4 linked regions of the Lonchura striata genome follow. The protein of the gene in region 4 interacts with the protein of the main gene of each other region in a pairwise test. Links are inferred from orthologs where the notes say so. Each region holds a gene or a part of one and is shown on either strand. Other genes may lie near its edges. The genes, in order: SERF2, CCNK, RUSC1 and RBPMS.

What was found.
Region 1: the proteins of RBPMS (region 4) and SERF2 interact in a two-hybrid assay, tested with the Homo sapiens proteins (2 studies listed by BioGRID and IntAct). The two-hybrid records come from large-scale screens. The link is inferred for Lonchura striata from reciprocal best matches to the Homo sapiens genes RBPMS and SERF2.
Region 2: the proteins of RBPMS (region 4) and CCNK interact in binary tests that used the Homo sapiens proteins (3 or more experiments, as listed by UniProt). The two-hybrid records come from large-scale screens. The link is inferred for Lonchura striata from reciprocal best matches to the Homo sapiens genes RBPMS and CCNK.
Region 3: the proteins of RBPMS (region 4) and RUSC1 interact in binary tests that used the Homo sapiens proteins (3 or more experiments, as listed by UniProt). The two-hybrid records come from large-scale screens. The link is inferred for Lonchura striata from reciprocal best matches to the Homo sapiens genes RBPMS and RUSC1.

The regions. Positions count from the first base shown.
Region 1 is NC_134613.1:24,446,453-24,451,687, forward strand, and holds SERF2 (small EDRK-rich factor 2), read right to left. Parts: upstream 1,208-5,235; 5' UTR 1,144-1,207; coding exon 1,137-1,143; intron 942-1,136; coding exon 833-941; intron 733-832; coding exon 669-732; 3' UTR 522-668; downstream 1-521. Other genes in the region: peptidyl-prolyl cis-trans isomerase FKBP8-like, read right to left, coding at 1,695-1,862, 1,992-2,069, 2,148-2,320, 2,391-2,608, 2,742-3,087, 3,199-3,433. UniProt on the Homo sapiens protein: Positive regulator of amyloid protein aggregation and proteotoxicity. Induces conformational changes in amyloid proteins, such as HTT, driving them into compact formations preceding the formation of aggregates.
Region 2 is NC_134608.1:12,582,834-12,590,021, forward strand, and holds the start of CCNK (cyclin-K), read right to left. Parts: upstream 3,016-7,188; 5' UTR 2,884-3,015; exon of another isoform or gene 2,801-2,883; intron 2,750-2,800; exon of another isoform or gene 2,615-2,749; intron 2,256-2,614; 5' UTR 2,151-2,255; intron 1,133-2,150; 5' UTR 1,063-1,132; coding exon 866-1,062; intron 1-865. UniProt on the Homo sapiens protein: Regulatory subunit of cyclin-dependent kinases that mediates activation of target kinases.
Region 3 is NC_134635.1:1,835,198-1,842,537, forward strand, and holds the start of RUSC1 (AP-4 complex accessory subunit RUSC1), read left to right. Parts: upstream 1-4,334; 5' UTR 4,335-4,415; coding exon 4,416-6,120; intron 6,121-6,396; coding exon 6,397-6,501; intron 6,502-6,826; coding exon 6,827-6,903; intron 6,904-7,001; coding exon 7,002-7,176; intron 7,177-7,264; coding exon 7,265-7,340. Other genes in the region: FDPS (farnesyl pyrophosphate synthase), read left to right, coding at 233-313, 400-522, 1,032-1,120, 2,001-2,073, 2,578-2,655, 2,733-2,867, 3,030-3,230. UniProt on the Homo sapiens protein: Associates with the adapter-like complex 4 (AP-4) and may therefore play a role in vesicular trafficking of proteins at the trans-Golgi network. Signaling adapter which plays a role in neuronal differentiation.
Region 4 is NC_134606.1:72,057,203-72,064,531, reverse strand, and holds the start of RBPMS (RNA-binding protein with multiple splicing), read right to left. Parts: upstream 3,010-7,329; 5' UTR 2,942-3,009; coding exon 2,879-2,941; intron 1-2,878. Other genes in the region: DCTN6 (dynactin subunit 6), read right to left, coding at 4,984-5,082, 5,168-5,310, 5,415-5,462, 5,656-5,744, 6,377-6,482, 6,556-6,620, 6,762-6,784.

The sequences.
Region 1 (5,235 bases), on a different chromosome or scaffold from region 4:
GCCGCATCTGGCCCGGTGAGGAGCCCAGGCTGCCGCGGGAGCCGCCGCTGTGCTGTCGGATCGGGCTGATGCCACTGCTAGGGCCCTGCAGGGAGGTGAAAAGGCCGACGGGCACCGGCCTCGGCACTGGGCCGGATGTCGCCGCCGCCGGCCGGGCAGCTGCGGCTAGGCCCGCCCCGGCCGTGCCGCAGCGCGGCCCTCCCCCGGTGCGCAGGCCCGGCCGCCATCTCTCCACCGCCGCCCTCCGGCCGGCCCGGAGCCCCGGCTGCGCCCCGGCCCGCTGCGGCGCCACGCCGTCCAGCTCCGCTGCTCCAGGCTCCCCGCTCTCCCTCCGCCCCGGGGCGCTCGGCCTTCAGCCCCCGCTGATCCCCGGGTGCTGCCCCAAGGGCCGCCCAGGTCCGACCCCACCTTTGTTCCTCGCCGTCGAGATGCCGCCGCTTGACTCCCCGCGGCCGCGATTGCTCCGCCAATAGCCGTGCTCACCCACCCCCCGCCCGGCGCACGGACGAGCAGACGCAGCGTGCAGGGCTCCACAGCTACTTTAATAGGGGACGGCGCCACCGGGCGCGGGGCGATGCCGGAGGTCCCGGCGGGACCCGGCCTGGGGCGGCGCGGGGCATCCTGCCGGCGGGACCGGCCCTGGGGCGGCAGCCCGGCGCGGCCGCCCGCTACTTGTTGCCCTCCTTCTTCTCGTTGGCCTTCTTCTGCTTCTGCTGCATGATCTCCGAGTCCCTGCGGGGAGCGCGGCGAGGCTGGCGGCGGGGCCGGCACCACCGCGGGGCGGGAGCAGGGAGCGGGGCAGGGGAAGCCGGCGGGCCGGCCCGGCGCTCACCTCTGCTTGCGGGCGGCAGCCGAGAGCCCGTCGTCCCGCCGCTTGCCCTTGCCCGAGTCGCTCTGCTTCTTCAGGTTCTTCTGCCGCGCCAGTTCGCGCTGGTTCCCGCCTGCCACAGCGCGGCCACCTCAGCGCAGCCCGGCCCCGCGTACCGGCCACCCCCCATACCCCGGCCCGACCACCGCCCGCCGGCGCATCACGGCGTGGCCCCTGACCCCGGCCCCGCCGCACTCCCGGGTCCCAGAACAGCCTCCCACGACACCTGTCAGCCCCAGCCCCCTTTCCTTCCTTCCCCCCAACTCACGGGTCATGGCGCCGCTCCCTCCCACCTCCACTCCACCGCCACGTCCCGCACTGACCCCCCCCGCGCCCCGCCCCGCCCCGCGCTTTAAGGGACGCCACAGCCAATCATTGCGCCGATCCACCCCCCGCTGCACTCCCATTGGCGCGTCTCTGCGGCAAGGCCCCGCCTGATTGGCCGCGGGCTATGGCCTCCCTGCTGCCGGCGGGGGCGAAAAAGCCGGAAGGTTCGGCGCACGCGCCGCAGCCGCCTCCGCGCGACAGGATGCGGAGCGCGGGGGGACCGCCCCCCGCCGTGACGTCACGAGGCGTGCGGGAGCGCTGCCAGGCTGGGAGAGCGGTGCGGGCGGTGCGGGACGGGGCCGGCGCCGTCCCGCCCCTCCCTCAGCCCTCCCCACGCAGATTTCTTCTCCTCCCGCGGGAGTGCGGGGCGATGTGGGGAGGACGGTATGAGAACTCCTCTATCTCTTCGGTCAGGCTCTGAGACGCTGCGGGGCCGCTCAGATCTCTCCTTCCGCCGAGGGCGGTGCGGGGGATCTACAGGGAGGGACGGCTATAAGCGCTATGCGCGCCAAGAGGGTGCGGGACGGGCATCCGTCCCTGCACAGCCCAATTCGCCTACGCACGCGGGGCTCGGCGGCGGTATCGGGTCGTGGCGGGGATTCTGCGGGCCGGTACCGGATGGAGGGCTCTGGCGCTTCGCCAGCCGTGAGAGCTCGGTGTGGATCACCTACGGACGAGGTGCGGCTGCGGTGGGACACCCGACCCACCAAATGCTGTAGGATCCTCTTCCTCCCCGTCGCTTCAAGTACCAGGTGCCGTAGGACCACCGCCCGCCCTCGCACCCCGCCTCCCACACCTTGCTGGCCGGGTCCAGCTCCAGGGCTCTCCTCAGGACGAGCGCCGCCTCTGCGTCCCGCCCCTGCTCTGCCAGAAGCTGCGGGGAGAGGAGCGGACGGTAGCTGGACGACTGGGCCTAGGGGAGCGGGGCGATGCGGAACGATGCGAGTCCCACCTGCCCGCGCCGGACCAACGCCCGACCGTTGTCGGGGCTGATCCGCAGGGCCGCCTCGCAGGCCGCCAGCGCCTCTTCCGTCCGCCCCAGCTTCAGCTCGGCAGCCGCGCAGTTGTTGAGGCACTTCACACGCTGCTCCCGCAGCTCCTCTTCCTCCTCGGGCCCGGGCGGAGCTGCGGGGCGAGTTGCGGCCTCAGCGCCCCAGCTCCACAGCCCCGGGCCCTCCCTTCCGTCCGGTCTCACCGGCGGCGGGGCCGTCTAGGGCACGCAGGGACAGCCGGTACGATCGCAGCGCCGCGGCGAAGTCACCCCGCGCGAAGTGGAAGTTGCCCCGCTCCCTGCGCTGCGAGCCCAGGCGCAGACGGACGGCGGGTAGCAGCGGCTGCGGGTCGGGGCCGTCCCGCACCTCCAGCAGCGTCACCTCGAACAGCAGCGGCGCCTCGGGCGGCACGTCGGGCTCCCTGCTGGTACAGCGCCGGCTGCCCGCGACCCCTGCCCTGCCGGCGCCACCGGCTCTGGTCCTGTCCTCGCCCGTCCCTCTTGCCTGCCCGCCCCGGTCCGTCTGCCCTCCCGCCCCCTGCCCGCTCGCCTTACCTGCCCGGGCGGCCATAGGCGTAGGGGAAAGCGGCGAGGAAGAAGGAAACCTCCCCGGGCTGCATGGTGGGGACGCCCAGCTCCAGAGCCTGTGGACGGGCACGGTGGGGCTGGCGGGTCGGGGCCCACGGCGGCGCTGAGCTCGCACGGCACTGAACCGCGCACCGGTTCGGGCTCACCTGCACGACGTCCCCGTGACCCGGCACGAAGATGAGCCGCGGGTCCCGCTCCACCAGCCCGCCGTCCTCCAGGGCGCCCAGCAGCTTCACGGACACCTCTTGGCCCGGCAGCGGCCGCGGCCCGCCCAGCCCGGCCCGCACCACGCGTTTCCGCAGCAGCCGGTCCTCTGCGAGGGAGGAGGCGCTAAGAGCCAAGCCGGGAGTCCCGAAATTGGCATTCCTTGCTCCACTCTGTCCGGTCCCGGCCTGGGCTGGCCCTGAGGCCCGTCGGCACTCACCCGTCAAGTCGCTCCAACTGTCGGAAGCGAAGAGCGGCCCGAAGCCGCCGGGCCCCGGCACTGCCAGCGCCTCCAGCCGCCGGTAGAAGAGCTGCTCCTCCTCGCGCACCGACGGCACCGCGATGGCGGTGTGAGGCAGCCGGAACCGCACCCGCCGGTCCCGGCCAGGCCTCCGCGGCCGCTCGCCGGCCCCCGTTTCCCTCTCCGGAGAGCCGCCGGGCGACGGGCCCGGCATGTCCGCCCCCGGCCCCCCTCGCCACCCGCCGCTACCTGCTGGCCTCGGTCCGGGCCCACGCGGGGTTCGGCGGCGGGTGCCCACGGCCCCCAGCCCGCACCGGGCGTGTCGCCGCCCGTCCCGCCGCGCCGCGACTGCCGGGGGTTGCCCGGGCCGGGGACACCGCGGAGCGCATGCCGCCGCGCCGTTACCTAATGCCGGGAAGCAGCTCAGGGGATTAGTCCGGGTCGGCGGCAAAAATAGCTGGGCCAGGGCGAGCCCCGCCACGGGGCTCCCGCCGCCCGCCCCGCCCGCTGCTGTCGCGCGTTCCAGGCAATGCCGCGGCCCGGCGTCTCCGGTACCGAGGCTGTGGGCCGAGTCTCTGGCTTATCCCAGCTACCAGCGTAAGAATCACTTTGAATGCCTCCATCCAAAGCTGTCTCATAGCAAAAGCCTAATTCTGCAAGAAGCGAGTCCTCCCAAGCAAACTGTTGCTGCAGTTTTTTCCTTGCTCATCCAGACCTGTCTTTGAAGGAGCGCCAACTGCTCCAGCTCTGAAACACCTGGGGCTAGCTCATTCCCAGCTCCGTGGAGGGCCATGGCTGCATGGGGAGAACCAGAAACAAAGACCCGATCTTTTGCTAAAGCCTGAGCCAACTCGGGGAATGTGTTACTTTAGGTGGTGGCTTCCCCCTTACCCAGGGCCAGCTCTCCATGCAGGTCTCACTGCAAGCAAGGTCTGTAGCCACCCTGTTTGCCAAGTGTTCCAGGCATCAAATATACAAATCCTTCATCAGATGCCTGTTTCTCCTCAATTGAACCTTATTCCTTCAATGCAGTTGTAGCATAGTGAGGGTTATCTAGGCAGCCACCACCACAACCCTTCCTCATCCTCTGTCCCTTCTGCCAGAAAGTTTCCCTAGGCCTGTGCCAACTTCACCCAGGCTGCTCTGAGCACCAGCAGTGATGCCCTGGGCCAAACATGCTGAAGAGTTTTACCTGTGTTCAGTGCCCCAGCTGCCACCAGGTCAACAGTCACAGAGCAGGGAGCAAAGCCAGGATTAGAACCACGTCCCTAGCTCTCCTTGGCTTGATGGAGAGCACTGTCCTGCCCAGCAAGGAAGCAGCATTCCAGTCTGGTGTAACATGGGTAATTGCCAGCTGTCAGGGGAGCTTGCTGTGTTCCTTTTCCTTGCAAGAGTGCTCCAGACAGACAGGTGCAGGGCTCCTGCCAGTCTGTGCAGGGACCACTGGACATCACATGCTCCTCCAAAGGTGCCTAGACACCCGCATGCATTAGGGGCAGAGCAGCTACCACAGCAGCAGAGCACAAAAGGGAAATGTGGTTTGAGATGCTAATGGAGCTGCAAAAGAAATTGTACTGCAGTTACTGTAGTCAAAGAAGTACAGCCTAAGCCTTGCATGAGCTACTGTATTTGGAAAACTCCAGCACCACCTGGGCTTTGAGCTGTGGGGGAGGAAGCCACAGAGAAAGCAAGCTCTGGTTCTTGCCATATTACCTGCTGCCATGAAGCAATACTTTGAGTGTGCTGACCCTCACTTCAACTTGCATTTAGTAAAGGAACACAGAATCAGGACAACAGCTCCTACCTGGTCCGCCCATCTCTTTCCCGCCCTTCCCCAAAGGAAAGCGGAACACCCTCAGATGGTCAGTCACAGCCCACACCACATGGTCTACTCCTATCCTCCTGAAGAGAGACCCACAGCTACCAGCCTGTTTCTCAGCGTGAGAAGGAATAGTTAACTGGTTGTATTCGCTCTCACCACAGCCAAGCACTTGACTGTAACAAACACCCTTGGCC
Region 2 (7,188 bases), on a different chromosome or scaffold from region 4:
AATAAAAAAGCCACAAAAGCCCTTAAAGCTGTGTAAATACTATGATCAGGCCCAGATGCAGCTGATATCGAAAGCATTTATTGTAAGTATGCAAAGTGCTGACTGTATTTCCAAGAGGATGCACATAAGGTGACTCCTGTGTTGCACCATAGCTGCCTCAGAGAAGGACAAATCCAGCAGTAGGTACACGAAGGAACAGAACAATTATCGCTTCACATTCAAGTGCTGGCATGGAGGAAAGTTACTATTCAAACCTACAAATGCAAATAAAATCTGAACATGCTCCGTATTCTTCACTTTAAGACAAATAGAAGTTTAGTCTTCACCATGCATTATTAAAGAAAGAACTAAGGAGTTTAAAGGAAGCATAGGAATATAGAAAGCAGAAAATTTAAGTGGCTGTCTATGAGGGAGTGGGACAATGGGGAGAACTTATACACAAAGTTGTAAATCCCAAACCATGAAACAAAAAAACAGCCACCAGAGACCAAGACTGGGGAGGCAGAGGTTAGAGCCTCAAAGGCCAGATTCTAACAATTTAGAAAAAGGAGGGAAAAATTCAAAATTTGAGAAGCCATGCAGATTCATATAGTGAAATACTGAGTTTCATAACTCACAGATGTTACTCTTAATTGGAAAGTTTGTATCATCTTACTTCTCTTCAACAAACTGGAACCCTGTTTATGCAATGAATGGATAGAAATGGTGTAGGAACACATTATATTGAAAGGCACTTCAACACACATATATTTTTAATTAGCAATTAAAAATCTGATCAGCTGAGCATGTCACATTTCTTGTGTATTTTATTCTGAAAACTCACTATTCATAGAGACATTTCATACCAACAATGTGTAAAGGATACAGCCCTAAACGTGTTCCCACGTCGAATATGAATCTGGCCCCTTCCCTGCGGTATCGTGCCTCTGTAGCTGGATCAAGCCCTTCAAGCTGTGATGGTGTGTGTGCCAAATCTTTCTTATCCCAGTACCAGCATGGCTTTGTATGGTCCAGGTTTGCCAAGTTCACAGAAGGGCTGGAATTTTCTTTATTCTCCTTCATTTATTAAAACAGAATTGTCTCTGCTTTTTAAATTTTCAAAAACGAAGTCTTCAGAGAGTCACTTCAGGACCTTGAAGAAAACAAAAAAGGAATTCTTTAAAAATAGAGAGAACTACCTTCTGAAGTTCCTCCTCAAAGAGGAGTAAAAAAAGAATAGTGCTTAGCCTTGCCTGTTGGAAAGAACTTGTTCCTATGCTCAAAGACAAGTAATAAAGAACTTTGCCTTTATCCTCTCCATATTTTGCAAATACAATCAGAAAAAGTAATAGGTTATCCTTGCTGTTACCTGTTTAATAAGGAAACTTCAAGAATAGATCTCCAACAATATTGCTATTTCTTAGTAGAACAACTACCATCTACTTTGTCCGTAAAACTAGGAAAAAACAATTCAGTGACGGCTGCAGAAAGATGTGGAAAGTTAGGGCGATTAGATGACTATTGGTAATTAGGAAAGGCACCGGTGAGGCGAGCCTGAACGGCCTCTTAAATACCTGCCTGCTCCCAGGGATATTGCGGGCAGCAACCACTTGGCAGAAGCTTTGTAAAGTGATCTGTACTTTTACTACTTAAAGAAAAAAAGTGTGTCAGTGTTCTTTCACATACCTAGATTAAGACAACGTGAGTTTATAGAGCAAGGCAGCATTTAAAATCATCCCCCAAACAAGGCAACCAAATACACCCCAAGAGTCTCCTACTTGCCCCTGTTTACCAGCACTTTGTGTACACAGATGCAGATCACAAAGTTCTGCAGGCACCTTTTTGGTGATTGAATTATGACAGACGTTCAGCCATGCCTCAGCTTAAAGAGTGCTTTTTTTTTCTTACAGGCACAAAACTGCTCTTACTCCAACTCAACTAACTACAGATACTATTCCCAGATTACTGCAGTCACCTGCAAAGGTTTGCATAACAGACAGACATTAATATATGATGCAATATATTCGCTCTAAGCAAGACAGTCACAGTAAGACCCAAACTTAAAACTCTTAAAATCAGTTATTACTTATCGAGACGTTTCCCTTCCGAAAACGGAAGGAAGATCCCGTGAACAGCCACAGAACGATGCCTACAATCAGCACCTCGCTCACCTTCAAAAAGTCTCTTTTTCAGAATAAACGAAACTGTCTTTGCCTCACGGTGGTTTTGGAATCACCTTCACAACTCGTGGTATCGGTCACAGACAGATCTAAATTCTGGCACAAGAAAAAGTAAATGGCTACTAAAAACTATTTCCAGACTCAACGAAAGCGCGCCAGGCCACAAGCACACATTCTCATCATATTTACTAGAAAGCTGCTTTTATAACTGCAACGACCCTTCTTCCTTACCAGATATTTTACTTTCTAACTTCTAAAGCGTTTAAAAATCAGTTAACACTAAAAGCGCCTGAAGCGGTAAGATCTTTTTCTATAAAAGCCCAAACGCATTTCCGAATACGGAACCAGGAATGAAAATTATCACCCGCAAGCACCTTAAATGAACCATGTTAAACGTCCCAATCCAGAGACCGCAACGCCCGGAAATAATAACTTTTCCCTGCCTTTTTAAGCACCCCATGAAACTGGAGAAGAACTCCAGAGCTCGATCGCGGCTTTTTCATACCTTACCCGAGACGAACGCACCGACCACAGCTCCGCCCCCGCTGCCCCAACGCGGCCGGGGATGCTCACACCGCCTCAGACCCACCCGCCCGCCCTACACGGGGCTGCCGGTGCCCGGGGAGGCGCTCGCTCCCTACCCCCGGCCTCCGCGCTCCCTTCCCCCGTTCCCCAGGCGGCGGCGGTGGCCGGCGGGCGGCCCGGGCGGGCCCCGCGCACTCACAGGGCTGCGGCAGCGGGAGCGCACCGGAGCGCGGGGCCCTCAGCGACAGCGCGGCCTGCGCGCCGCCATCTTGGGAGCCAGGCCAGGCCGCGCGTGCGCCATCACGTCGCAAGGGCGCAGCGCGCGAGCACGGCGGCCCCGCCAATGGGAAGCGGCGGCGCTCCCGCTACCTCCCGCCCAAATGCCCGCTCCGTCAGCCGCTGCTGGGCCGGGCTGCCGTACCCTGGGGGCGGACCAATCGGAACGGTAAAGGGGAAGATTGCGAGCGCAGGGACCAATAGAAACCTGAAGGCGGGCCAGCAGGGATTGAATGACAGCCAATGGGAGCGCTGCTCTGCCTGAGGGAGGGGCGGGGCCTGCTGGCGGGCGGCAGCTCGGCCAATGGCGGCAGGGCGCGCAGAGGGGGCGGGGGCGGGCGGAGCTCCGCCTCCCCACCGCGGGCAGCGGCGGCGGCGCGGGCTCGGGAGCGCCGCTCGCTCGGGCCAGGCGGGAGCGGTCGTGCCGGGAGGTAAGGCGGGGCCGCCGCGCCCCCTCCCCTGCTGCAGCACGGGCCCTTCCTCTCGACCCTCCGGGCGGCGCGAGCTCGCCCCGCTCCGCCGCCTCCTCCTTCCCCGGAGGAGGCGCCGCTCTTTCCGGACACCCCCTCCCGCCGGGCCTCGCCGCCCCTGCCTTGCCCCGCGTGGCCGGTGCGGGGCCAGTCCGGGCCTCCTTCCCCTGCGAGCCGCAGCCTCCGCCAGGCTCGGCCCGGCCTTTCCCTCTCCCGGCGCGTCCCCCGGGGCCGCCTGGGGCGGGCCGGGCTCGCTCCAGCCCGGCCTGCGCGGGTCTCCAGTGAGCGAGGCGGCGGCACCGGCGTTTTGCCTTGCCCCATCCCCCCTCCAGACCCTGATAGAAACGAGAGTAAAGCAAATGGCTTAAAACTGCTTTCCTCGTGATGTAATTAGATTTTTATTTTTTTTAATATGTGATACGGTTTGAATCCTCCCTGCTCCTACTTCATTTTCCCATGCCCCAGCTCCCGGGGTCTGGCTCAGGGGCGTCTCTGCGGGTGTGTGGCTCCTCTGAGCCCTCCTCTGGCTGGAGAAGAGTGCTCTGGTTTCTTTCCTTTCTCACCCCGTCTGCAGCCTGCTGAAGCAGAGTTAAATCTTTGGAAGAAAAAGAGAGAGAGGAGTTAAAATTAGAATAAATCGTAAATGTTTATTGACAGGGGTGTTACTCCTGAAACAGCCTCGGTATTTCAGCCTTCCCCTATTGCTACAGCAGCTGCCTGTCCCGTGAACCCTTCTTCTTCTTTCTTACCCAGCAACACTTCATTAGAGTTGCTTGAGCTGAGGCTGTGCTTTGCCTTCAGTTCTTAGCAAATTCCTAAATTTTTTTACCCTACATTCAGCTATCAGAATAACCTCAGTTTTGGAAGTTGTCCCTCATGGTTCAAAGCTGCTCTTGCCCCAAGCTTGGTATCTGCTCTTCTAGATGGGCTTGTCTTTGGAACCTAAACTGGCTCCTGAGATCAAGCTGAAAGTAGATTGTCTTTGTCCCTTCTAAGAGCATGTAATGAAGGCACCTGTACATTCAAGTGACAGCTTTGTTCTCTGAAAATTGCTACAATGTTAGCTTAATGTCTGGCAAGTGCTTTCTGCTTTCAGTTGTTGTAATCCCATAGGTGAGTAGAAAACAACTGTGGCATTCTGTATGTCCACTATCAGGTTCCTGGTACAAAATAGTAAGCCAGTGTACAAGTTGTGGGAAGGAAAGGCATGATGGACTCAAAGGCGGGGGTGGCTTCCTGATATTTTTGCTCAATTAAGTAACTTAATATGGTAGAGATTCAAGCATGCTGGCTTGTGCCTTAGTAGTTTTCAGTTATGTTTAGCAGGGATTGAAGTATACACTGCAGTAGAGTTGAAAACACATTTTTGATGTTGTGTGCTGAGAAATAGATTTAGGCTGTTGGGGGAAGAAATGCCACAAACTCCAAAATAGTTTGTAATCTGTATATCGCTATTTCCAGAGATGGCCTGATCTGTTGCTGAAGTCAGACATGCCTTGAAATAGAATTCTGATTTCAGTATGGTACAGAAATCAAAAATAGGCTGTTTTATGCCTCTCTGTATGGAAAAGTGTACATCTTGATGATGTTTTAATTATAATAAATTTATTTTGACATATCTACTGTATCTATGTAATTCTTGGTCATAGTGGTGCTGGTTATGTAGTTAATTTGATAAACTGTGTACTTCTCAGCAAGTGAGTATTTCAGTGGTTCCTCTTTCAAAAAAAAAAAACAACCAAAAAGAGGTACTTTAAGAGTACTGGAAGTCTTAAGGGATCTGTATCTTTTCTAGTGGGCTGTCATAGGGCTCAGTGCATGAGACCTCATGATGCCTGTGGCTTAAGCTTTTGGAGGCCTGGGTGGTTCTGTTAAGTCTGCCTTACTGATGGCTGAAGTCAGGGTGGCTTGCTTTACTCTCAGTTAGGAGTTATATTATATAAAGTGAGGTTAATATTTTCTAAATTAAGAACATTATTTAGGAACATGCGGGTAAAGACAGTACATAAGGGTTTTTAATTAATTCTGCTCTAAAGGAATTAGGAAAAGAAGTTTGTGGGAGTCTTCAGGAGGAGCAAAATTCAGGCAAAGAAATAAAATTACAAAAGTGGGTTGGTAAATTGGTAGAGTTTATCAGCTTATTTTCTTTAAAGAGTAAGTTTGTTTTTTTTTTTTCTGGTCAAATAGCTGTCTGAGGATCTGATTCAAGAGACAGACAAAGGAGTTAAGAGCTTGTTTCCTGTGGATAGATAACTATCTTCCCTAGAAAGATCAGGCAGGTGTTGATAGTAAGAATTACTTCATCTGCTTAAGAAAGCTTTAATGGAAGGCCAAGGGGTATAGGGACAAACCTGTGGTAAATAATGTAATAGTTCCAAATTAGCAAGCTGATAAAAGTGAATTAAGAAATACATACTTTTTTGAGCTGTTCTGTTGGATATGGACTTTTTTTTTTGCCCTTCAGCATTTTGTGCTACCTTCAAATTAATAATTTCTTACCAGAAGTTTATATTTAATGCATGAGGCAGTCTTGTGCTTAGTATGTAGCTAGGTTCAACTGGGTGGGGAGGGAGATAATGTCAAAATGACAGGACTTCCTTTTTTAGTAGATTAGTGCTACCTCAAGCATTTGTAATCGGAATACTATCAAGGCATGTTTTCTTTGATTCTAAGAATAAACATCTTTTGGAATTTGATTCCCAATACTTAGCTAAATTTGTTGTACTTGGTGGTTTTTTAAGTGTATCAAGTAAATATTTAGCTAACTTTAGTGGCTTCTTTTGATATTATTCTGTAGATTGGCTTCTTCCCAGTATCACAGTCACCACTATCACCATTGTTCTTTCCTTAACCTTACACTGTAATGGGATTAGCAGTTTGTTCTTTGCAGAGTAGATGTGTGCAGTGCATACAGCAGTGGTTCAGTCTTTCCTCTTTTCCAAATGCTTTAGGCTTGTGCTTGTGGTTGACACACCTGTGGTGGTACAGCTTTCTATAGTAAAGGGAATCATTTGATTCTGACCGTCCTTTGCCAAAGAACTTGTTGGAGACACTTCAGATTCCTAGATTTCGCTTTAGGTGACTAATAGTGTTTTTAACTTAGGCTGTTATGTAAAATATGAGAAAGAATGTCTCAAAACTAAAAGTACTGCAGGAGTACTTCATTGCTCCATAAAAATGGTCCATTAGTGTTGTCTGGTCTTAGTCGTGTGTATTTGGAGCTAGGCTTGTGTTTGTAGCAGTTAAGAGGTGACTTCATGCCCAAGTGTATTTTAATATTGCTTTGCATTTTTGGTCTTGCCCTTCCTCTGCTTTAACCTTCTTTGCTCCCTTTTTCTGTTTTTAGCTGCTCTGCCCTACATTGCCTCTTGATTGCTTCTCTTCTAACAAATGACTATTCCAGTTGCTCCATCTATCCTTGCCCTTCCTTTACCACTTCCCATCCTGTTCAGGTAGTCTGTTAATCCTTTTCCTTTCTTTGAAATAAGGAAGAATTAGAGCTGTATTCTTTCATTTCAGCTCTGGGTTCTGTGACCAGGCCAGAGCAGCAGACCTGTCACTGCAGGAGGCTTCCACCTGTGTGTCTAACCTGGGCTGCATCAGGCAGAGATGTGAATGACTGTGCTTGAGATCAGTTTTATCTCCAGTACTGGTGTTCACAGGCTCTCAAGTTGGCCAGGTGTAGGTAATACATAAAGCAGAAATAAAGGAAAAGACATGTTGCTGAGAATGTAGCTGCTAATATCCTATTAGGAATC
Region 3 (7,340 bases), on a different chromosome or scaffold from region 4:
AAAAAACACCAACAAAGAAGATGTCAAGAGTGTGTAAACCTTTGCCTAAGCTGCTGAGCAAACCACAGCAGCCCAAAAAGACAAATCTTTTAGGGAACTTACAAATAAACAACCATAAAACCAAACAACGGGAAGCATAAATTAGGGGGGAAAAAAAGTTTTTCCACCGCACAAAGCCACCCCACAGTCAACACCCGGGGGTTTTACCCATCTTTGATCCAACCTCTCGCAGTTCCAAGCCTTTTTCCTGGTGGCTGACGACATCATGGACGCGTCGCTGACCCGCCGGGGGCAGCTCTGCTGGTACAAGAAGGTGAGAGCGTCCCTGTTCCCATCTTGGGGGGGTGTCCCCTGCGGGTCAGGAGGGTTTGGGACACCTCCCTCCCCTCCCTGGTGCAGGAGGGGATCGGGCTGGATGCCATCAATGATGCTTTTCTGCTGGAGTCCTCGGTGTACCGGCTGCTGAGGAGGTACTGCGGGCAGCAGCCCTACTACCTGCACCTGCTGGAGCTCTTCCTGCAGGTGAGCCCGGCTCCCCAAAACCCCTTCCTGATTTTTTTGGGGGGTCTGAGCCTTCACGTCGGACCTTTTCTGATGTGGGTCTCGGAGTGCTCCTTGCATTGCTGGCCGTCCTGCTGGATGCACCCTGGCAAAAGCCAAAGAGGAGCTGAACAAGAGGAGTTTGGGGTCTGCACTGTGCTGTGCTGGGGCTTTCCTGGAGGGTTCTGTGAATAAATCATGGAATCGCTGCTTTGGGTTGGATGGGACCTTAAAGAGCATCTTGTTCCACTCCCCTGCCACGGGAACACCTCCCAGCTTGCTCCAACCTGGCTTTGGACACTTCCAGGGGCACCCACAGCTTCTCTGGGCGCAGGAATTCCTTCCCAATATCAACATCATTGATCCAGCATAGCCACCAGCCTTTATCTTCTTATTCTCCCCGTTCAAAACATCCTCCTCCCTCTTTTTTACACCCCTCTGAAGCACTGCAAAGCCACAGGGGGGCCGCAGATCCTTTCTTTCCTCTCCAGACAGGCTACCAGACCGAGCTGGGGCAGACCCTGGACCTCATCACTGCTCCAGTCTCCCAGGTGGACCTGAGCAGGTTCAGCGAGCAGCGGTACGGGGGGGCAGAGGCAGAGCCCGGGGCTGGTTTTTGGGGAGCAGCCCGGTCCCTTCCCAGCTCTGCTGAGCCTGGGGCTGGTTTTTGGGGTTTTGGGGAGCCCTTCTGTCCCCAAGGGTGGCAGAGGCAGGGCTTGGTCCCTTCCTGGCTCTGCTGAGCCTGGGATCGGTTTTTGGGGAGCAGCCCGGTCCTTTCCTGGCTCTGCTGAGCCTGGGGCTGGTTTTTGGGGAGCAGCTGAGCCTGGGGCTGGTTTTTGGGGAGCAGCTGAGCCTGGGGTCAGTTTTTGGGGAGCAGCTGAGCCTGGGGTTGGATTCTGGGGAGCAGCCTGGTCCTTTCCTGGCTCTGATGAGCCTGGGACTGGTTTTTGGGGAGCACCTTCTGTCCCCAAGGGTGGCAGAGGCAGAGCTTGGTCCCTTCCTGGCTCTTCTGAGCCTGGGGCTGGTTTTTGGGGAGCAGCTGAGCCTGGGGTTGGATTTTGGGGAGCAGCCCGGTCCTTTCCTGGCTCTGCTGAGCCTGGGGTCGGTTTTTGGGGAGCAGCTCAGTTCCTTCCTGGCTCTGCTGAGCCTGGGGCTGGTTTTTGGGGAGCAGCTGAGCCTGGGACTGGTTTTTGGGGAGCAGCTGAGCCTGGAGTCAGTTTTTGGGGAGCAGCTGAGCCTGGGGTTGGATTCTGGGGAGCAGCTCGGTTCCTTCCTGGCTCTGATGAGCCTGGGGCTGGTTTTTGGGGAGCAGCTCGGTCCCTTCCTGGCTCTGCTGAGCCTGGGGTTGGTTTTTGGGGAGCAGCTGAGCCTGGGGCTGGTTTTTGGGGTTTTGGGGAGCCCTTGTGTCCCCGAGGGGGGCGGAGGTGGCCTCGGGGCTCAGCCTGCTCCCTCTGGCACAGGTACAAGGCCATTGTGAAGTACAAGACGGCGTTTTACTCCTTCTACCTGCCCGTGGCCGCAGCCATGTACATGGTGAGTCTGCTGGGACGGCAGGTCCTGGAAGGCGTGAGCCCCAGGTCCTGGAAGGCTTTACTGCATCCCCAGGTCCTGGAAGGCTTTACTTCATCCTCAGGTCCTGGAAGCCTTAATCCCCAGGTCCAGGAAGGCTTTACTGCATCCCCAGGTCCTGGAAGGCTTTACTTCATCCCCAGGTCCTGGAAGGATTTACTTTATCCCCAGGTCCAGGAAGGCTTCATCCTCAGGTCCTGGAAGGCTTGATCCCCAGGTCCTGGAAGGATTTATCCCCAGGTCCTGGAAGGCTTTGCTTTATCCCCAGGTCCTGGGAGGCTAGGCTTTATCCCAGGTTCTGGAAGGTTTTACTTTTTCCAAGGTCCTGGAAGGTTTAGCTTCAACCCCAGGTCCTGGAAGGCTTGATCCTCAGGTCCTGGAAGGTTTTACTTTATCCCAGGTCCTGGAAGGCTTTATCTGTAGTCCTGGAAGGTTTTTTTATCCCTGTTATTCCTCCCCTCCCCTCAGGCAGGCATTGACAGTAAAGAGGAGCACGAGAACGCCAAAGCCATCCTGCTGGAGATGGGAGAGTTCTTCCAGATCCAGGTAGGAGCTGCCTCAGCACCCCTGGGTGCTTGCCCGGCGCTGGCTGGTGGCACTCAGGCGTCGTCACTGTCACCCAGGACGATTTCCTGGACTGCTACGGGGACCCAGCCCTGACGGGGAAGGTTGGCACCGACATCCAGGACAACAAGTGCAGCTGGCTGGTGGTGGAGTGTCTGCGCCGGGCCACGCCGGAGCAGAGGCAGATCCTGGAGGTAAAATCCTGGATCCCTCACCTGGGAGAGGGGCTGGAGAAGCCTGGGTGTACACCTGGAGTGCCAGGCGCTGCTACCTGGCTGGGAGGAGGGGGGTGAGCATGAGGAAGAGAGAACAAAGCTCCGCGCCGTGAGCTGGGACTCACTCCAGCGTTTTCTCAGGAAAACTACGGCTCGAAGGAGCCCGAGAAGGTGGCCAGGGTGAAGGAGCTCTACAATGCGCTGGGCATGGAGGCGGCTTTCCGGGAGTACGAGGAGAGCAGCTACCGGCGCCTGCAGGAGCTGATCGGGAAGCACGCCCAGCGCCTGCCCGCGGAAATCTTCCTGGACCTCGCACAGAAGATCTACAAGCGGCAGAAGTGATGGAGGGGCTGGCAGGGGGCTGGGCTCCGGCACGGACCGCCCGGAGCGGCTCCCTGCCCTGGGAAGGGTCGCGGCGGGTTGGAGAAGGTGCGATGGGGTGGCCGGGCTGGGGTTCAGCCGTCTCCCCCCCCACCCCCGGCCGTGTGTGAATAAACATAAATTATTGTAGCCGCGGCGCTGCCTGCTGTGGTCTGGGGACAGGGAGGGAGGGCGGGACCCCTCCCGTGCTTTCCGGGCTGGGGGGATGCCCGGAGCGCCGCCTCCGCCGGCGGGGCGGGACCGGGCGGCTCCCGGTGCGGCGGCGGCGGGGCCGCGGCTCCTCCCTCCCTCCCGCAGCCGCATTCGCCGCCGCAGCGCCGAGGTGAGCGGGGGACGGGAGGAAGGGGATGGAGCCGGGAGGGGGATGAAGAGGGCCGCGCCCAGGAGGGCCGCTCCCGCTGCCTGGCTGCCGGTCCTCGCCCTGCGCCCGGGGGATGCTCGGAACCGGGGGATGCTCGGGGCCGGGGGGTGCTCGGGGCCGGGGGATGCTCGGGGCCGGGGGGTGCTCGGAGCCTGCGGATGCTCGGAGCCTGCGGATGCTCGGGGCCGGGGGGTGCTCGGGGCTGGGGAATGCTCAGAGCCTGCGGATGCTCGGAGCCTGCGGATGCTCGGGGCCGGGGGGTGCTCGGAGCCGGGGGATGCTCGGGGCCGGGGGGTGCTCGGGGCCGGGGGATGCTCGGAGCCGGGGGGTGCTCGGGGCTGGGGAATGCTCGGAGCCGCCCTCCCGCGGTCTCCCGTTCCCTGCCCAGAGCCTCCAGCAGGTAGCCGGGGCCGGGGCTCCCCATCCCCCCCGGTAAGGCCAGGCCCGGTGGTGCGGTGGCGGCTCCGCAGCGGCTCCCAGGACCGGGGGATTCCAGCCAAGCCTTGGTCCCTGAGCACCCGTGGTGCCACCGCCCCCAGCCAGGGCAGCATCCTCCCCCGGCCCCCCCGTCTCGACGAGGCTCCAAGGGCGTTTTCTCCTTGGCGGCATCCCCGAGATGCTCCCGATGCTCCGGAGGGAATCCAGCCCCGGAGCAGCCCAGCTTGCTGGGATCATTCCCAGGCCACGCTCCATGGAGCAGCGGCTGGTTTCGGCCCCTGCCCGGCCGCAGAGCCCCAAGCCCGGCAGGAAGGTGTGGGGCAGCCCCTCCCTCAGGGCACATCCCCATGGCTAACCCCCAGACCCATTGCTGCGAGGTCACTGCCATCCCTCTTCCCCCGGCTGTGCCTCTCTCCAGGTTTGTCCCGCTGGGTTCTTCCTCGGCCAGGAGGGTGTTTGGTGCTTGCAGGGAGCTGGATGGTGTGAAGAGAGGAGCTGCTGGCCTTTCCTGGGAGCCCTGGCACTTCCAGCGAGGAGGCAGCGCCATGCTGGCTCCAAAGAAAGGCCTCCTGTGCAACCTCAACCACATCCACCTGCAGCACATCTCCCTGGGGCTGCACCTCTCCCGGCACCCCGAGCTCCAGGATGCTTCCACGGCCGGGGGAGAGCAGACCGGCTGCACCCAGTGCCCGGAGAACCGGGAGCCGGTGGATGCCAATTCCAACAATCCCTCGGTGAAATGCCGCTGCTGTGAGTCCCACGCTCCGGAGCTGGAGACGCTCGGGCTCCAGAACCAAGAGGATTTCCCCTGCCTGCACAGCGGAGACGAGGAGGAGGCGGCTTCCCCTTGTGATCCCCCTTGTGATCTGGCTTCTTCCTCCTCCTCCTCCTCCTCCTCTGTCAGTAGCTGCTCGGATTTCAGCTTGGATGAATCCCCGGTCTCGGTGTACTGCAAGGAGTTCGCCAGAGCAGAGTCCCAATCTCCTGACAAGCAGCTGAACGTCATTCCCACAGAAAACGCCTGGCATGGAGAGTCTCTGGCTGATGGAGAGAGTCTGCCTGACCAGGAGAGGACGTGCCATGGGAGAGATGCCAACCACAACTCCCCGGTGTCCCTGCGAGCCACCGCCGTGGCCAGCAAGAGCCCGGACAGCCTCTGCAGCAACAACTCGCTCGACTCCCACTGCGACGAGCTCTCTCCCAGCGCAGCAGCAGCAGCAGCACAGGACACCGCCGGCACCTGCCCTGACCTAGACCCCAACTGCAACCCCCTCCCCGAGCCCGGTGCCGCGCCCCCAGCACCGCCGCCTGTGCCGGAGCGGCGGGACCCCGGCATCCCGAGCGGCGCTCCGGAGCCGCGGCCCCGGCCCGGCGGCCTCCCCCCGCCGGTGCCCCCTCGTCCCCGGCGGCGGCTGCAGGTCCTCAACGCGCACAGAGCGGAGCAGCCGCCGGAGCCCCGGGCCGGGCCCGGTGAGCTCTGCCGAGACACGGGCGCCAAGACCATCACCTCCTTCCACGAGCTGGCCCAGAGGAGGAAGAGGAACGCGGCCGGAACGCTCGCCCAGGCCAGGGTTGACCGCAGTGACTGGCTGATCGTGTTCTCGCCTGACACGGAGCTGCCCCCCACCAGCGAGCTGCTCGCCGGCACCGCGGGCCGGGAGCCAGCCCGGCCTCCGCCCCAGCCCCAGCCGCAGCCCCGGCAGGACGGGCCGGCCGGGCCTCCCGGCTCCGGGCAGCGCGAGGTGACGACGTTCAAGGAGCTGCGGTCCCGCAGTACCGCCCGGCAGCCCAAGGGCCAGCGGGCAGAGCCGGGCCAGCGCCCCGCTGTGCCCGCGGGGACGGGCGCGGGCCCGCAGCCCGTGCCGGCACCCAGCGACCAGCTGAGGAGGAGACCCCGGCCGAGCCTGCAGCCCATCGCGGAGGGGCAGCCGAGGGATGTGGAGAAGGGGGAAAAGGGGCTGGGCACCGCCCCGCTCCGGAGGCTCGGGGGTCCCGCCGGGGACCCCGCGGTGCCGCGGGCGGCTCCGGGAGGAGACGAGACCCGCACGGGGGGTGAGTCTGGGTCCCTCCGGGGCTCTGCCGGGGGGCTGCGGGGCCGAGCGGTGGCAGCGATCCCGGGGTGCGGAGAACCGGGGCTTCCCCCGCATCGCGCGGCCCGGGACGCGGCGGGGCTGTCCCGGTGCCGCTCCGCCCCGCGCTTCCTCCGCCGCCCGGCCCGGCCCCGTGAATCCATGAGCCGCAGCGAGCCGGGCCCCGCCGCCGGCCCCGCTCCTCCGCCGGCCCCGGGCGCCGCCGCCCCGCCTGACCCCGCCGCCCCGCTCTCTGCAGCCAGCCCCGAGCCGCTCGCCGCCGGAGCCGCCGCCGGAGCCGCCGCCGGAGCCGCCCGGCCCGGCGGGGGAAGAGCGGAAGGGCCGCACGGCGAGCAAACCAAAGGTTGGGGCAAGTTCTCCTCCGCGGAGCCTCCGCGGGGAACGGGAGGGGAGGAGCGGGCAGCGGGACCCGCAGCGTGCCCCGTTCAGGCCGTTCCCCTCGGGGGGTGCGAGCGGCTCGTCCCGGGCCGGGTCGGTGTCCTGGGGCACGGACAGTGCGGGCCGGGATGGGCAGCGCTGCTGCGCCGGGCGCGCTGCCGCTGGTCCGGGAGAGCGCGGCACAAACCCGCCGAGCGTGCCCCGAGCTGCGGCCCTGGCACAGCCCCGGGCCCGCCCGGTCCTTCCTGGGCGCTGACCCTTCTCTGCTCCTCCTCTCCCGCTGTCCCCAGCGCTGCTGGTGGCCGTCAGCTCTGCTGTGGACAAGGTCATCGCCCACTTCAGCACCGCGCGGAACCTGGTGCAGAAGGTGAGAGCTGGGCTGGAAGGATTTTGGGATGCCCTCATCGCTCCCAAGGGTCGCGTGCTGCCCTGCCCTTCCCTCCCCTCTCCTTGTGCCTGCCCCAGGCCCAGCTGGGGGACAGCCGGCTCAACCCCGACGTGGGCTACCTGCTGCTGCACACCCTCTGCCCTGCGCTCTACGCCTTGGTGGAGGACGGGCTGAAGCCCTTCCAGAAGGATGTTATCACGGGCCAGAGGAAAAATTCCCCCTGGAGCGTGGTGGAAGCCTCTGTGAAAACAGGTGAGGGCGAGGCTGGGGGCATCCCCAGGTGCCCGGCGTGCTGCTGTGCCCTGGGCAGTGGCTGTCTGTGCTCTTCTGCACCCCACAGGCCCCAGCACCCGCTCCCTGCACTCCCTGTGCTGGCACGTGGCCGGGCTGGCCCCGCTCAGCAGCGCCAGGCAGAA
Region 4 (7,329 bases):
GAAATCCTGCATCTTGTCTTGGGCCAGTTTAAGGGATACTGGAAAGGCTCTGTGGAGGTTTGCCGAGATGGTCAGTGCTGAGGACATGCCAGGAGAGGCAAAGATCTGGGCCAGGAGGTGACCGGGGTTTCCAGAGCATGGATCAAGGATGACCCCAGCATGGAGAGGTCCGTGATGGAAGCCCTCCTCCTCCTCTTCCTCACATGAAGCCACAAGCTTACCAGGTTTGTCTCCTGCAGGTAAGGAGGTACCGGGGGGGCATTTGCTTGGCTTGGACCCCCATCACACGGCAGTGCCCGGAGGGATGCCGGGTGCCCCAGTGGCAGTGTCCTGCCAGCATGGTCCCGGTCCTCTGTCCTGTCCTGTCCCGCCCTGTCCTGCCCAAACCACCCCCGGTAAACGTTAAACAGGCCCTGGGAAGGCGGGAGGCGTCCGGGTGATTCATCCACGAGGCATTTAATCGCCTCCTTCAGCCCAGCTCCCATCCCTCGTCCGTCCTTCCGTGCGCCCCTTCCAGCGGGGCTCGCTTTAATTCTCCACCAGCCGATTATCCGCTTGACTGCCCGCCGCCGGGGAGGCACCGGATCCCGGCGGCAGCGGGAGGGCGATGGCACGGGGCTGCCACCGAGCCGTGCAACCCTCCGTGTGAGCAGGGCTTCCCCTCCCGTTCCCGGCAAAGCGGGGTGCATCCCCACCCCGCCGGGATTAGTCCAGGCATAAATAATCTCTTGGCTAATGCAGCGTCTTCCTCGGCTGGGTTTAGATTCCCGGGCTGTGTGTACGCATGCCTTCAGCCCGCAAAACTCCCCGACATAAACAAGGCTGAGGCCGAGGGATGCCGGCTTCTCCGCCCGGGAGATACGGGAGGACCGGGCTAGATCTCCGGCCTCGCCACCCGCAGCCGCTCTGCTGGAAAATCACGGTTCTCGCACGTCCGGTGAAGGACGGGAGGAGAGGAACAGCCCTTGGGGAAAAGCGAGTCCAGAGCTGCCGGGGCTGGAACGAGGAAGCGGCAGAGGAAAAGGCAGTGAGCAGCCAAGGGAGCAGATGGGGGATTGCAACAGAGCGGAGGAGCGGCGGGATCAGGCGCGGGTCACACTCGTCCCTGTCCCGCCTGGAGCTTGCTCCCAAACCCTCCGGACCCCACGCTTCAAGGAGGAAAGGAAGCAGGAGCGCGGGGGGATGCAACGCAGGGGCCACGGGGACAGATTTTATCCACTCGCTGGACACGTTCCCCCTAGAAAGCATCCCTGGGGTCCCCTCCCCATGGCACGGCTCCCCCGGGATGAGGGATCTGGCATGGGATGGGGACGAGGGCCACGAGCCGGGCTCTCCGCAGCCACTCCGCTACCAAATAAGGCCTCCGCCGAGCCTTTTACATGCCGTTCTCGCCCGGCCAAAGTGACGTGACCGCCTTCCCAAATTGTTCTGGCTCCTACGTGGGGAAGCCCCTGGCCCACAGCTCCCCTGCACGGGGGGTGTCCTTCCCGGGGGGGACAGGCGAGAGGGACGGGGAAGCCACCCGGGCGCCAGGAGCAGGCGGGAGGAGCGGGCATGAAGCGGGGGCTTTTCCCACCTGGCAGCACCCCGACTGACCTCCCCGGCATGGGGGCTGCTTCTCCCTCTTTTCTGAGGGAACAGGAGGCTGCAGGCAAGCCCTGGGAGTGGGGAGGTGAGGCACCACAGTAGCTGAGTAACCCCTTTCCCTGCGCTTGAGCAAATAGACAGCACCGGCTTCTCCAGCCTGGGCTGGAACAAGTCCTGCCAGGAAAATACCTGCCTGGCACCGGAGCAGCGCGGCTTGCAGGCAGGAGCGGGCATCGCCCTCCTCGTGTGTCCTCGGCTCTGTGCGTGTCCCTGGCACCTCCCAGCCGTCCCGTCCGGGTGTTCCCCATGTCCGGCATCACCGGGTCAGGGGGTTCCCCTGGGCGACAGTCAGCCCCCGGCCCTGCGGATCTGGCCGGGAGCAGAGCGAGGGCTGCCTTTTGCCGGCATGGGTTTGGAAAAGGCCATGCTTTTGGAAAAGGCAACAGGCCTCCATGGGTGTCACCCATGCCATGCCCACCAGAGCCGCAGCATCATCTCCCACACAGTCCGCCAGGCCACCAGTGGAAAAAAACTCCACGTTTTTTAGGAAACTTTGGGAAGTTTGAAGCCAGAACCACCTCTGGAATAAGCAAATGAAGGCAGGCGGCAGCGGGCGATGGAACTGCGGTGATTGATCCCAGCGTTGGCCACCAACCAGGGAGCCCAGCAGGGACCTGCTGGAGCAGCCCAGCCGGGTGGAGGGTAAGGAGGAGGAGATCTCCGATCGGAATCTTCCCGCTCTCACCCTGGCAAAGTCCAAATTCCCATCTCAAGGTCACGGGCAAAACCAGGAACTTTGCGGCTGGAATGAAGCAAACCAGCACTCACCGTGACGGGGTGTGGGGTTGGTCTCCCGTGGGGATGGGAGCGTTTCGGATATTTTTGGGGTGAGACTCATGGGAAAGAGATTCACAGCCGCTGGATGCACAGTACCCACGGGCACCGGCAGCACCAGGCACCGGCAGCGGGACCGGGGAGTGCCTGATTTATCCCTCACGCCCCCCGGGGCGATCCGTGTCACGCGTGGGGCTCCCCGCGCCCGCAGGTTTCCTCCGGCGAGGCGGAGGGGCGTTTGCGGCGAGCCCCAGGGGGATGCCGGCGGTGAACGGGAGAGTCCCGGGGAGCGGGGATGCGCTCCCGCCGCTCGTCCCTGTCCCCCCCGCAGCAGCCCCGGGTACCGGGAGCCCGGTGCGTGAGCACCCGCGGAGCGCAGCTCCCGGGGATCGCGGGTGGGGAGGGGGAAGCCGGAGCCCCTCCGCCCCAAATCCCCGGTGCGTGTCCCCCCCGGTACCTCTTCCTCGGGCAGGCTGGTGTCGGCGGGGCCGCCCTCCCTGTCGGCGGGGACGCTGCTCATGGTGCGACCGGCCAGGCTCCTCGTCCCGCCGGCGGCAGCCGCGTCCGGGCGGGCGGTGCTGGGGGCTGGTCCCGGCGGCGGCGGGGGGGCCGGGGCGGGGCGGCGCGGCCGGGGAGGGACGGGGCGGGGGCGCGGCGGAGCGGCGGGGACGGACCGGGCCGCGGGGGGATGGAGGAGCGCCGGGATACGGGAGGTGGGCGATGCGAACGCGGGACACAGGGCTAGGGACATGGGACACAGTGCCATGTGGGGCCACAGGACACGGAGTTGGGAATTCAGGGCAGTCCTGGAGACATAGAAGACAGTCTAGGACGTAGGGGATACCGGATACAAGGCTGGGGACATGGGGCACAAGAATGGGGAGATGGACACAGTCTCAGGGACATGGGACACGGGCTGGGGGTGTAGGACAGGGCTGGGCAGACGGGACACAGTCCTGGGGACACGGGACAAGGCTGGGGACACAGGACGCAAGGTTAAGGATACAGGACAGCACGTTGGGGACATGGTGCACAGACCCAGGGACATGAACGTGTTACGGCTGTGGGGCAGAGGAGGGGACCCGGTGCAGGGCTGGGGGCAGTGGAAGGACCAGCGGGAGCTCATCACCCCAACCGGCCCCACCTGGGGGCTCAACCCCTCCCTGCCCAGCCCGGGGACTGCACTTAGGCTTCATGCTTAGGCTAGGCTTTTGCTGAGCCTGCGCTGGACCTGGCATCGTGTACGCTTCGTTCTAGAGCTCGGTGTTGGGTCGTTCCAGCCCTGCAGAGCCCCGGGGAGGCGGCTGTGACCCTCGGGGTGGAGAGCAGCAGCTGTGTCAGCCCAGGTGCTGCCCGGGCACAGCGCTCGGCCGGAGGTGACGCCGAGGACATCCTGCCCGGGGCACAGGGCTCCTTCCCAACGGGCCCTTAAGGTCACCGCCTGCCTTTCTGCGCCTCACCAGCCGAAACAGACCTGGGGGCAGGTGCCCGTCTGTCCTGCCGGCTGCCCAGGGGACACAGCCTGGCCACCCACAGGTTTGCATCATCCCCGCGGCAGCGATTCAAAGGACAGAAGGAGGTGAAAATGAGCTGTGCCAGCTGGATTTGGGGAAGCGGGAAGTGTCTGGCTACAAGGCAGCTGAGCCTAGAGGGAATCTAGAGCACAGGGACTGATCTAGTCACCCAAATCTGCTGGAACCTCTGGCTTTTGGGGTAGATTTTCAGCAGGGGGGAAATTTAGAGATGTGTTTTATCTCTTTGTTTTCCCCATCCACAGGCATCTAGACAAAAATCTCTGCTTGGACAGTGCACGGGACAATACTCACAACCCTTATTTGGACTCAGCTCTGGGGAAGAGCTGCAGCTGCCCAGCAGCGCTGGAACCCAGGTTGGAATCACAAATCAGAAAAAGGGGAGGTTTGGATTTTTTGTAGCCATGAAGCTGGACTTGGGGAGAAAATCCAATTTGCTCCAGCAGATATTGCCCCGCTTCCCTGCCTTGAACCCCCCGACCTGAACCCAAAGCCTCATGTCCCACAGAAGTCTGGGTTTCTCTGTGTTAGCTGCTGATCCTATCCCCTCTTCCCTACAGGAATTTCTGCTGCATGGATGTCCACCTGTGTTTCCCACCCCGGGGCCCGCGTGGATCCGGGACGCGGGGCCGGGACCCCCGGGGAGCGCGGGGTCACACCGCCCCCTGCCGGCGCGACGGGGCGGCGCGGGGAGGTGGCACCGGGCTGTCCCCGGCGGTGACACCCGCCCCGACAGCGCCCGTGCGACCCGGGCACCGCACCCCGCACACTCAAAGGGCTGCGGTTCCCTCGGACAGCAGAACTGGAGGCATTTTATTCCCGAAAAAAAGCACAAACAATAGAGCTAACGCGTGAGCGACGACAGACTCGAAGCAGGTCTGAGAATCCCAGTGGAAGAAAAAGAAATGACACAAACAAGGAAGAAATGGTTTGATGGAATGAGGGATGTGGCGACCGGACTCTTCCCGGAGTGTGTAGTGCTTCCCAGGACCAAACACCCAGCTGGGCACGGGCAGCATGAGGTGAGTGCTCAGCTCTTGACAGGGGTGGACGCGGCCTTCATGGTCTTCTTCAGGTGGTGGTAGTTGGGCAGGATCTTCATCAGGAAATCCAGCTGCAGCGTCTGGGGCTGGAAAGGGAGGCAGGGGAGGTGAGGGAACAGCCAGAGGGTAGCAGGCCGAGGGGACAGGAGGTGGCAGCGTGTCCCCACGCACCTGTGGCCGCTCGGTCTGCACGCGCCGCAGGCAGTCGGCCCCGTAGATGACGGTGTTCTCCGGGATCACCTCGTAGGTGTTCACGTTGCAGCAGGCCCCGATGATGCAGCCGCTCGTCAGGATCACGTTCCTGCCAACAAACGCTGCCAGGGAGAAGGGAGAGAGAGGAGTCCCTGTGAGAGCTGTTCCCACAGCATTTATAGGAGAAGAATCTCAGCAGGGCCAAAGGCCCCAAGCTGAGAATTACCTTTGGATTCAATGACGTTGTTGTCTCCTACCTTCATCGCTTGGGAATCTACAGGTCTGTGTTAAGTAAAACTGTAAAATGCTTTGCTTATTTTCAGCAGATGAAAAACCCTGATGCCATTTTCAAACCACCACCCAGCCCTGAGCTATCTGAACCCTGACAGATCCCCAGAGATGCCTCCCCCTGGAGGGATCCAGAAGCACAGTGTGCTGGATGGTTTGTCACTGCACAGCGAGGATACAGCACCCGACCTCAAAAACATTGTTGGTGCCAATGACCATGGGCTTGGGCTCCACATCTTCGCTCTCTGGGGTTATATTTTCTGGGTACCTGCAAGAGGGAAGAACAGATTTCCACATCTGAGATCATGATGACAGTGCTCTGTGGGGCAGCTCAACTTCGTGACAGACTGAAGCCACAAATATCCCATCCAGCTGAGCTGGACTGTCAGAAATTTGAGACTGCTTAGGATTAGGATTCTTCTACTCTGTCAGCTTGAGAAGAATTCAGAAGGGGGACTTAGCATCCAGTATCTGAAGGGGGCCCGCAAGGAAGCTGGAGATGGACTCTATCAGGAACTGGAGTGACAGAACAAGGAGTAATGGGCACACACTTAAAAAGGGGGAAATTAGGTTAGATATACATAAGAAAATTTTTACTGTGATGGGGTGAGATACTGGAATAGGTTGCCCAAGGTAACACTTGCTGCATCAACCCTGGAGGTGTCCAAGGCCAGGTTGGACAGGGTTTGGAGCAACCTGGGATAGTGGAAGGTGTCCCTGCCTATGGCAGGGGGGTGGCATGAAATGATATTTAAGGTCCCTTCAAACAATGAACATTTGTGATTCTGTGGCTTCTCCCCAAGCCATAGTGCCACACAAAAGCACGAAGTTTGGTGGTTTCCTTTTTAATAAACTCCACCTCCCCAGGGTTTTTAAACCCCCACCGGGTGTCCCACGGACCCGTTGATGATGAGCGCCTGCTCCTCGATCAGGTTCCCCTCTCCGATGACGATGGGCCCCGCCTCGGCGATGATGCGGGCCTTGGGATGGATCACGGTGCGGGGCCCTGCGGGGACAGCCCGGCGTCACCCCACGCCCGCACCGCCGGGGCCGGGCCGGGCGGGGGGCATGGCCCTTACCGATGGTCACGTCCCCGCGGATCTCGCTCTCCACGCACACCACGGCGCCCGGCGCGATCTTCACGCTGCGGGGAGCGGTGGCGCGGTCACGGCGGGCCCGCCCGGGGACCGCGCCGAGGTGCGGGGAGGGGACGGCGCCTCCCGGGGTGCTCGTGGGAGGGATCGGGGGAGAACCGGGAGGGACCGAGGGGGGCACCGGGACTCACCTCTTCTGCACCTTCTCCGCCATGGCCGCGGCCGGCGGCGCCTGCGCGGGGCGGAGCTCCGGGGCGGCGCGGGCGGGCCCGGCCCCGGCGGCGCCACCGCGCGGCCCCGTCGCTCCCCGGTACCCGGGAACGCCGGGATCCCGGGGCAGGCGGGGAAAGGGGCGCGGCTGAGCCAGGCGCCTGGAAAGGGAGAGCGAGTCCCGTGTTTGGGGCTTCAGAGAGGGTCCTGCGTGTTCGTGCTTGAGAAACAGACACCGAGGCCCGTGTTTGGGGGCAGCAGGCTCTTTTGGCCCTTTTTAGGATACTGAAAAGAATAAATCAGGCTTTTTTTTATTCCCCCCCTCAGAAATGGAGACAAAATTCTGGTTTTTTTGCTGGGCGCTCCAAGTCCCGCGTTGTTGCCACTTGGAGCCAGCCCCAGCCGGGCAGTCTCAGGGCAGTGAAACAGACTCCAGCCCATCTGGGGAGTGCGAATGGAGGCTCATCCAGGCACTTGAATGGTTTGATCAGAGGGCCCAAATCCTGATTTTTGGGGTCAGGGCAGACCCCAGACTGGGGAAGGGGGCGC